2 linked regions of the Sus scrofa genome follow. The protein of the gene in region 1 binds, or shares a complex with, the protein of each later gene. Links are inferred from orthologs where the notes say so. Each region holds a gene or a part of one and is shown in the gene's direction. Other genes may lie near its edges.

Evidence for each region.
Region 2: the proteins of MAP3K3 (region 1) and CCM2 are in contact, whole or in part, in a crystal structure (PDB 4Y5O), measured with the Homo sapiens proteins. The link is inferred for Sus scrofa from reciprocal best matches to the Homo sapiens genes MAP3K3 and CCM2. Residues at the interface, in NP_002392.2 of Homo sapiens: Asp2, Glu3, Gln4, Ala6, Leu7, Ser9, Ile10, Met11, Asn12, Asp13, Leu14, Val15, Ala16, Leu17, Glu50, Asp82, His84, Met86, Asn88, Glu89, Leu90, Ser91, Ile92, Leu93, Arg117, Leu119, Leu121, Ser122, Gln123, Asp124; in NP_113631.1 of Homo sapiens: Leu299, Tyr302, Met303, Leu306, Arg307, Ser312, Gln313, Ile315, Gln316, Gln317, Phe318, Ala319, Ala320, Leu321, Leu322, His323, Glu324, Arg326, Glu333, Ile336, Asn337, Gln340, Leu341, Leu353, Phe356, Pro358.

The regions. Positions count from the first base shown.
Region 1 is NC_010454.4:15,230,596-15,233,057, reverse strand, and holds part of MAP3K3 (mitogen-activated protein kinase kinase kinase 3), read left to right. Parts: intron 1-1,351; coding exon 1,352-1,580; 3' UTR 1,581-2,462. UniProt on the Homo sapiens protein: Component of a protein kinase signal transduction cascade. Mediates activation of the NF-kappa-B, AP1 and DDIT3 transcriptional regulators.
Region 2 is NC_010460.4:50,427,035-50,431,516, reverse strand, and holds the start of CCM2 (cerebral cavernous malformations 2 protein), read left to right. Parts: upstream 1-1,402; 5' UTR 1,403-1,503; intron 1,504-1,562; exon of another isoform or gene 1,563-1,955; 5' UTR 1,956-1,976; coding exon 1,977-2,075; intron 2,076-4,482. UniProt on the Homo sapiens protein: Component of the CCM signaling pathway which is a crucial regulator of heart and vessel formation and integrity. May act through the stabilization of endothelial cell junctions. May function as a scaffold protein for MAP2K3-MAP3K3 signaling.

The DNA.
Region 1 (2,462 bases):
CTGCATCCTCATGAATGCTGGTCAGATTCATTTCTGCTGAGCCAGGACAGGAACTCCACAAAGGTTCTTATAAAAGGAAGGCAGGGGGAGTTCCTGCTGTGGCACAGTAGGATCAGTAGCTTTGTCTCTACAGTGCTGGGATGCAGGTTCGATCCCTGACCCAGCACAGGGTGAAGAATCTGGCCTTGCTGCAGTGTAGGTTGCAACAGTGCTTCAGATCTGATCCCTGGCCCAGGAACTCAGTATGCTGCAGAGCAGCCAAAAAAAATTTTTTTAATTTACAATTAAAAAAATAAATGAAGGCAGGAGATGAGATCCAAGTGAGTAGTAGATGTGACAAGGGAAACGAGTTTGGAATGATGCAAGGAAGGAGCCGAGCCATGAGCCAAGAAATGCAGGCAGTCTCTAGAAGCTGAAAGAGGCAAGGAGATGGAGTCTCCCCTCGGAGCCTCCGGAAGGAACCGTCCCCACTGACATGTTGATTTTAGCCCAGTGAGACTAATTTCAGTCGTCGTCCTCTTTTAAAAAAGTTTTTTTTTTTTTTTTTTTTACTGATTTGTTTGATTTTTTCAGTTGTAGATCTTTATATTTTCATGTCGATCTGGTTCTGTCTGTCTTCTTTTAACATTCAATAGTAGTTTTACAAGCGTAAATGAAAAAAAAAAAAAAAAAAAAAAAAAAAAAAAAAAAAAAAAAAAAAAAAAAAAAAAATTTTTTTTTAAATTTTTTTTGCTTTATAGGGCTGTACTCATGGCATATGGAGGTTCCCAGGCTAGGGGTTGAATCCAGGCTTAGCCACCGGCCTATACCACAGCCACAGCAATGTGGGATCCAAGCAGTGTATGCGACCCACACCACAGCTCATAGCAACACTGGATCCTTAACACACTGTGTGAGGCCAGGGATCAAACCTGCAACCTCATGGTTACTAGCCGTATTCATTTCCGCTGCACCACAACACGGGTATAACTCCTAATTTTAGACTTCTGATCTCCAAAACAGTAATAAATTTGTTGTTTTTTTTTATGCCACTAGGTTCATGGTAATGTATTACAGGAGCAATAGCAAATTAAAAGTTATGTCAGGGCTCTTTCTGTCCTTGCCAAAGTGGCTTTCTTCCCCAATCTCAAGAAGCGCCCAGGTTGGTGTAGGCCGATGAAGCCCCTGTGGACGAAACTGATGGATTTTTGAAGCCTCTTCTGGCCTTGGGGTCCCTTTGGAGGGTGTCAACCCTCAGCTCAGCCCCTCCTGCCTCAGGGTGTTCTGAGAAGGGCAGGTCCTTTCACAGCGGTGGGCAGGGCAGCGGGAGCCTGGGGCTGGCTCTGGGGTAACAGGGGTTCTCTCTCTCCAGGAGCCTGGGCTGCACTGTGGTGGAGATGCTGACAGAGAAACCACCTTGGGCAGAGTATGAAGCCATGGCCGCCATTTTCAAGATTGCCACCCAGCCCACCAATCCTCAGCTGCCCTCCCACATCTCTGAGCACGGCCGGGACTTCTTGAGGCGCATTTTTGTGGAGGCCCGCCAGAGACCTTCGGCCGAGGAGCTGCTCACACACCACTTTGCACAGCTCGTGTACTGAGCTCTCAAGGCCACGCTGCTGCCGGCCGCTCCCTGCTGCACAGGCGAGGGGCTGCTTCGGGGCTCAGCAAAGTTGCTGCTTCTCCCAGGCCAGGCTGCGGACCATGGAGCTGCAGACCAGCCAGTGCTCTCTGTGCCCTTCTACCACTGGGGCTCAGAGCCAGGTGGGGTGGCTGCGGCCTCAAGGACTGGGAGCCCCCAGCCTGCCAGACCCGAGAGCTCCAGTGTCCTCAGCTCGGCCCAGAGGGAAGGGGCAAGGAACAGTGTGCAAGGCACCGTGGGCCCCACCCTCGGGTCTGTGTCCTGACACTGCAGTCTGCACCAGACCCCACAGTCTGGGAACACAGGACTGACTCCAGGGTCTGAATAGTGTTACTTTCATTCAGAGTGTTACTTTGTTTCTCCCCTGTTTGGAGACCACCAGGGCATCTCTGGGCTGGATGAGCCCACCCAAGCCTGAGGTAAAGCCTAGCATCCCACAGCCAATGGAAAGCAGAGGCTTGGGCCCTGCTCCCCCGGAGCTCCCAGGCCAGCTTTGCCAGTTCCTGTCCTTTACCAAAGATGAATGAAGCAAATGTTATGCTGCCTTATTCAGGGAAGGAGGAGCCTGTCCTGCCTGACCCCATGACCCTCACCTCCTCCCACCCTCGAGCAGGGGCCTGAGATGTGGAACTTCCCCCACTGAGGGGGAGACCCAGTTTTGTCAATGCAATTGTCTCTGTTTTACAAGTTGCAGTCACTCTTATGCTGTACCCAGTTTTTAAACTGGAGACTTTGTGTGCCCTCTGGGCTCTTGAGTTCCCCTGCTGTGGGCTTGGGCCTTGGGCCAGATTGTTAAGAGCTGAAAGTCATGGCTTTTGTGTTCCTGACCTGGCACCTGTTC
Region 2 (4,482 bases), on another chromosome or scaffold:
GAGCAGGCAGCAAGATTCAGGCCCTGCGATCACCACCATGAGGTGTGGGGGCCACTCCGCATCCTGAAATCTCTGTCTCACTCCTGGTCCCCTTCGCCCTCAGGGCCACCTGGTCCTGCTCTGCAGGGGCGGCTTGTAGGAGGGAGAGAGTGGAGCCAGCCTGTGTACACAGTGCCTCGAGTCTGTGAAAGATAAAGGGAGGCGATCCAGATGTTTGCTCCCACCTAGGACAGCACTGCTTTCCTGGCCCACTGCACTTTCTACGCCTGTGCCGTAGGCAGTAGGAGTTGACGCGTGGAATTATTGTTCTGAACCAGTCTTTTCGAAACCAGGAAATACTAAGCTTTGTTACAGTTTAAATTGAACTGAAATAGCCCCCTTTTTTTTTTTAGGGCCACACCTGCGGCACATGGAGGTTCCCAGGCTAGGGGTTGAATTGGAGCTGCAGCTGCCAGCCTCCACCACAGCCACAGCAACACCAGATCCAAGGCACCTCTGTGACCTACACCACGACTCATGGCAACACCCAATCCTTAACCCACTGAGCAAGGCCAGGGATCAAACATGCATCCTCCTGGCTTCAAGTCGGGTTCATTACTGCTGAGCCACAATGGGAACTCCTGAAATAGCCCTTTTTTTCCTATGGGCAGAAAACTGTTGTGAAAATTAGCACTTTGATTTGATCAAATCTAATATTAATATTAACAAACCAAGTATTAGTGAAATTTTTTTTTTTTTTTTTTTTTTTAGGGCTGCACCTGCGGCATATGGAGGTTCTAGGCTAGGGATCTAATCAGAGCTGAAGCTGCTGGCCTACACCACAGGCACAGCAATGTGGGATCCAAGCCATGTCTGTGACCTACACCACAGCTCACGGCAACGCCGGATCCTCAACCCACTGAGCAAAGCCAGGGGTCGAACCCAGGTCCTCACGGATGCTAGTCGGGTTCACAAGCCCCTGAGCCATGACGGGAACTCCTGTTTGTTTCGTTTTGAGCTGTGAGGATATGGGTCACTCTCGTTAACCACTACAGTTAATTACTAGCCTCTCCTGTTGGCAGCCGTTGTGGAATATCCAGAGTATGGACCTTCACCGTCAACAAACCCACCTTCTCCTTTTCAGGATCAGATTTAACCCTGAAGAAGGTAAAATGAGCCTGTTGAGGGACACTCAGTTTCAGAGTTGTGTCTCAAACTCGGGCGTCCTGGACGCAGGTAGAGGCCTTTGCAGGCTGGAGGTCCTGCAGCTGTGCCCTGCCTGCCTCTGGACTGTGTGCCCCGAGGCAGCCAGCAGCCAGCCTGAAACAGCTATGTTGGCAGGTCCTGCCATGTAGGTGACGCCGCACGGTCAGGAGGGGGAGCCCCAGCAGTGCCCTCAGTCGGCTGTGTTCTCGCTTGGGTGTTGGGAGGGGCACCGTGGCCAGACTTCCGCAGCAATGTCCTCGAGCCGACTGTACGGTATCGGCTGCAAGTGCGGGTGGCCACGGGCTCTGCGTGCTGGAGGTAGTGGGGGGGTGTGTGTGCTGGTTTAGTTAGATGGGCTGGTTTAGTTAGATGGGCTGGTTTAGTTAGATGGGCTGGTTTAGTTAGATGGGCTGGTTTAGTGCGAAGATGTGTGGGTTTACTTTGGGTCTTTTGGCGGGGGGCGTGCTTGCAGCATATGGAAATTTCCCGGCCAGGGATCGAACCTGCACCACAGCAGTGACCTGAGCCGCTGCAGTGACAACCCCTATGCTCAACTCGCGGTGCCACAAAAAAACTCTTACCGTTTGTGCTCGCAGTCTCTTTGGATTTTGCCAGCAGTCTCGGGGTGTCGCCTGCTCCTTCAACCTTTTTAAAAACTGCGGACGGCTTCACTGGGGCGTGCAGAAGGAAGCTGTGGTTTCTGGTCTTCCTGTTCATTCACATGCTTTTTTCAGAGGGAGGGCTGACATCTGACTCTGTTTTTCAACAAGATCACAAGTGAAAAGAGAAGGATGCACGGTAGCTCTCGGCAGAGGGGGAGGAACCAGGATTCCTCCCGAGAGATCGCTGCTCACACTGGCTTTCCGACGGGGTGTTCCGTGGAGAACGAGGTAGGTGCTGACGCAGCCTGGAAAGAGCCACCTCGGAGGACCTTTCGGGCCCCTCAGGCCTGTGTTTGTGAGCTCGGTTGGCCGGGTCCTTGACCTTTGCTTCGGGAAGGTGGAGCGGAGCGTCCCTGCCGGCTTCCGGGTCTGAAAACCGGCGGCTCCAGATGGCTGGTGGGCAAGGCGAGGAGCTGCTTGTGGGTTGTTGGGTTCATCCGTCCTCACTTGGGGCGTAAGGGCTGCAGGTGTCATGTCTGCTGGGGAAGAGCAAAGTCCGTGTGGATTTGTAGTTGGGACCCCGGATCGGGGACTTCCTGTTGTGGCTCAGCAGGTTGAGAACTGATGAGTATCCGCAAGGATGGGGGTTCGATCCCTGGCCTCCTCAGTGGGTTAAGGATCCCGTGTTGCCATGAGCTGTGCTGTAGGTCGCAGACGCAGCTCGGACCCCGCATCGCTGTGGCTGTGACGTAGGCCGGCAGCTGTGGCTCTGATTCGACCTCTGGCCTGGGGACTTCCAGATGCTGTGGGTGTGGCCCTAAAAAGACACGCGCACACACACCAAAAAACAAAAAAACAAAAAAAGGAAAAGAAAAGGTCAGGAAAGGGGCCAGCCGCAGCCTGGAGTTTCATTTGTGCCAGCCCCGGGCGGATGGGGGCGCTGTGCACAGAACCCTGCCCGAGTGGCCTTGGCCGCCCCGGAGGGTCCTGTGTCACCGAGCAGACGGCGGCAGTGACGGAGGTCTGGTTCACGCCTGCTCATGAGATGGGGAACTTGGGCCCTGTAGGAGGTCCCGGGGTGCCCGCTGTGCCGTGCTTGTTCTTTCAGCCTCTTCGGCACCGAAGAAAGTCTCTTTTCCGTATTTATTTTCAATTTTTTTTTTTTTTTTTTTAGTATTTAACTTTAAAAAAAAGATAGCGACTCTTGGCTTGCATTGCAGTAACTGCTGGAAGTCAATGGAAATTAAAATAGGCGATGTTACACTGCAGATTTAAACAGTGGCACTTAGAGGGGGGGATTGGTTGGGGTGCCTCATGGACCTGGGGCAGGTGTGAGTCTGTGGCTGCATTACCTATAATGGAAGTGATTAATAATTTATGAGCGAACACAAACTTTGGTAAACTGCACAATGCTTTGTTGCACTCGTGAACATCTCTTGTTTCACCTTGATTTCTATTCCATGGTTATAATGTGGTCAAGGTGCTGTCATTAAAGGAAGCGGACACACACACACACACACACACACACACACACTTCATTCTGACTTGCGCAGCTGGACAGAATCCCCGTAGCTTCAGCTTTTGCTGTGGAAACAGGCCTCTGAGCCGTCCACCCGGCCCACGCTCTGGCTCTGGTGTCTCCCTGAGGTGTCACCCCGCAGCCCCGCAGAGCTTGGCACCCTCCAGGCACGCAGCTCTGTCTCCCAGAGCAGAAGGGACCCCTGAGGTGGGGACGAGGTCCCCTCGGTTCTGGCCTCCGTGCCGGGCGCGTGCTAACCACCCATGAGACGTGTGCTGAGTGCTGAACTTAGGGACCCCCGACCTCGCGCCTGAGGTCTTGGTTCAGAGGCGGTCTCGTCATTAAAGGATTAACTAAGAGCGCCTGGACCCTGCCCTGGGGCGTTTAAGGTGCCCAGTGCGGCTTTGCTCCCTTCGCTGCCTCAGGCCTCCTCCAGGACATGCTGCTCTGAGCGTCGCACAGGCGGCTCGCATGGGTATATGTCACCCTTCGCTTTGGTCCCCAGGTAGAGGGCACAGTCCCGTGAGTGGTGGTGCCGGTTCCTCCAGAACATGCATTTCTTATAACTGATTAACTGACGGACACTGGTGGTCACGTTAACCTCTGAGAATTTGTTTAGGAGGCTCAGTTACTCGGTGCCAGGTCACCCCAAGTGAGCTTGTAAGTCAGGCTTTCCCATACTCCAGGCCAGCCTGGCCCCTGGGCCTTCCTCTAGGACGATGCTAAGTGGACCAGTGTTAGTGCATGTGTGTGTGTGCGCGAGGGTGCACGCGTGTGTGTATGTAACTAAGAGCTACGTTTGAGGTTTCTGAGTTCGAAAGTTGTTTCAAATGTGAAATGCAGTGGTTGTGGCTCAGTGGTAACGGACCCGGTCAGTATCCATGCGGACTCAAGTTCGATCCCTGGCCCCGCTCCGTGGGTTAAGGACCCAGCCTTGCTGTGAGCTGCGGTGCGAAGTCTGAGCAATGCCAGATGGGGCCTCTGAAGCCCCGCCTCCCTCCCAGCTCTGTTGGCTGATTGTTTCAACACTCAAAGGTCCATTTCTTTCTTTCTTTCTCCCCCTCCCTTTCTTTGGTCACCCTGCGGCGTGTGGAGTTCTTGGCCAGGGAGCACGGTCGTGACCTGTGCCTCACCAGATCCTTTAACCCACTGTGCTGGGCTGGGGATTGAACCTGT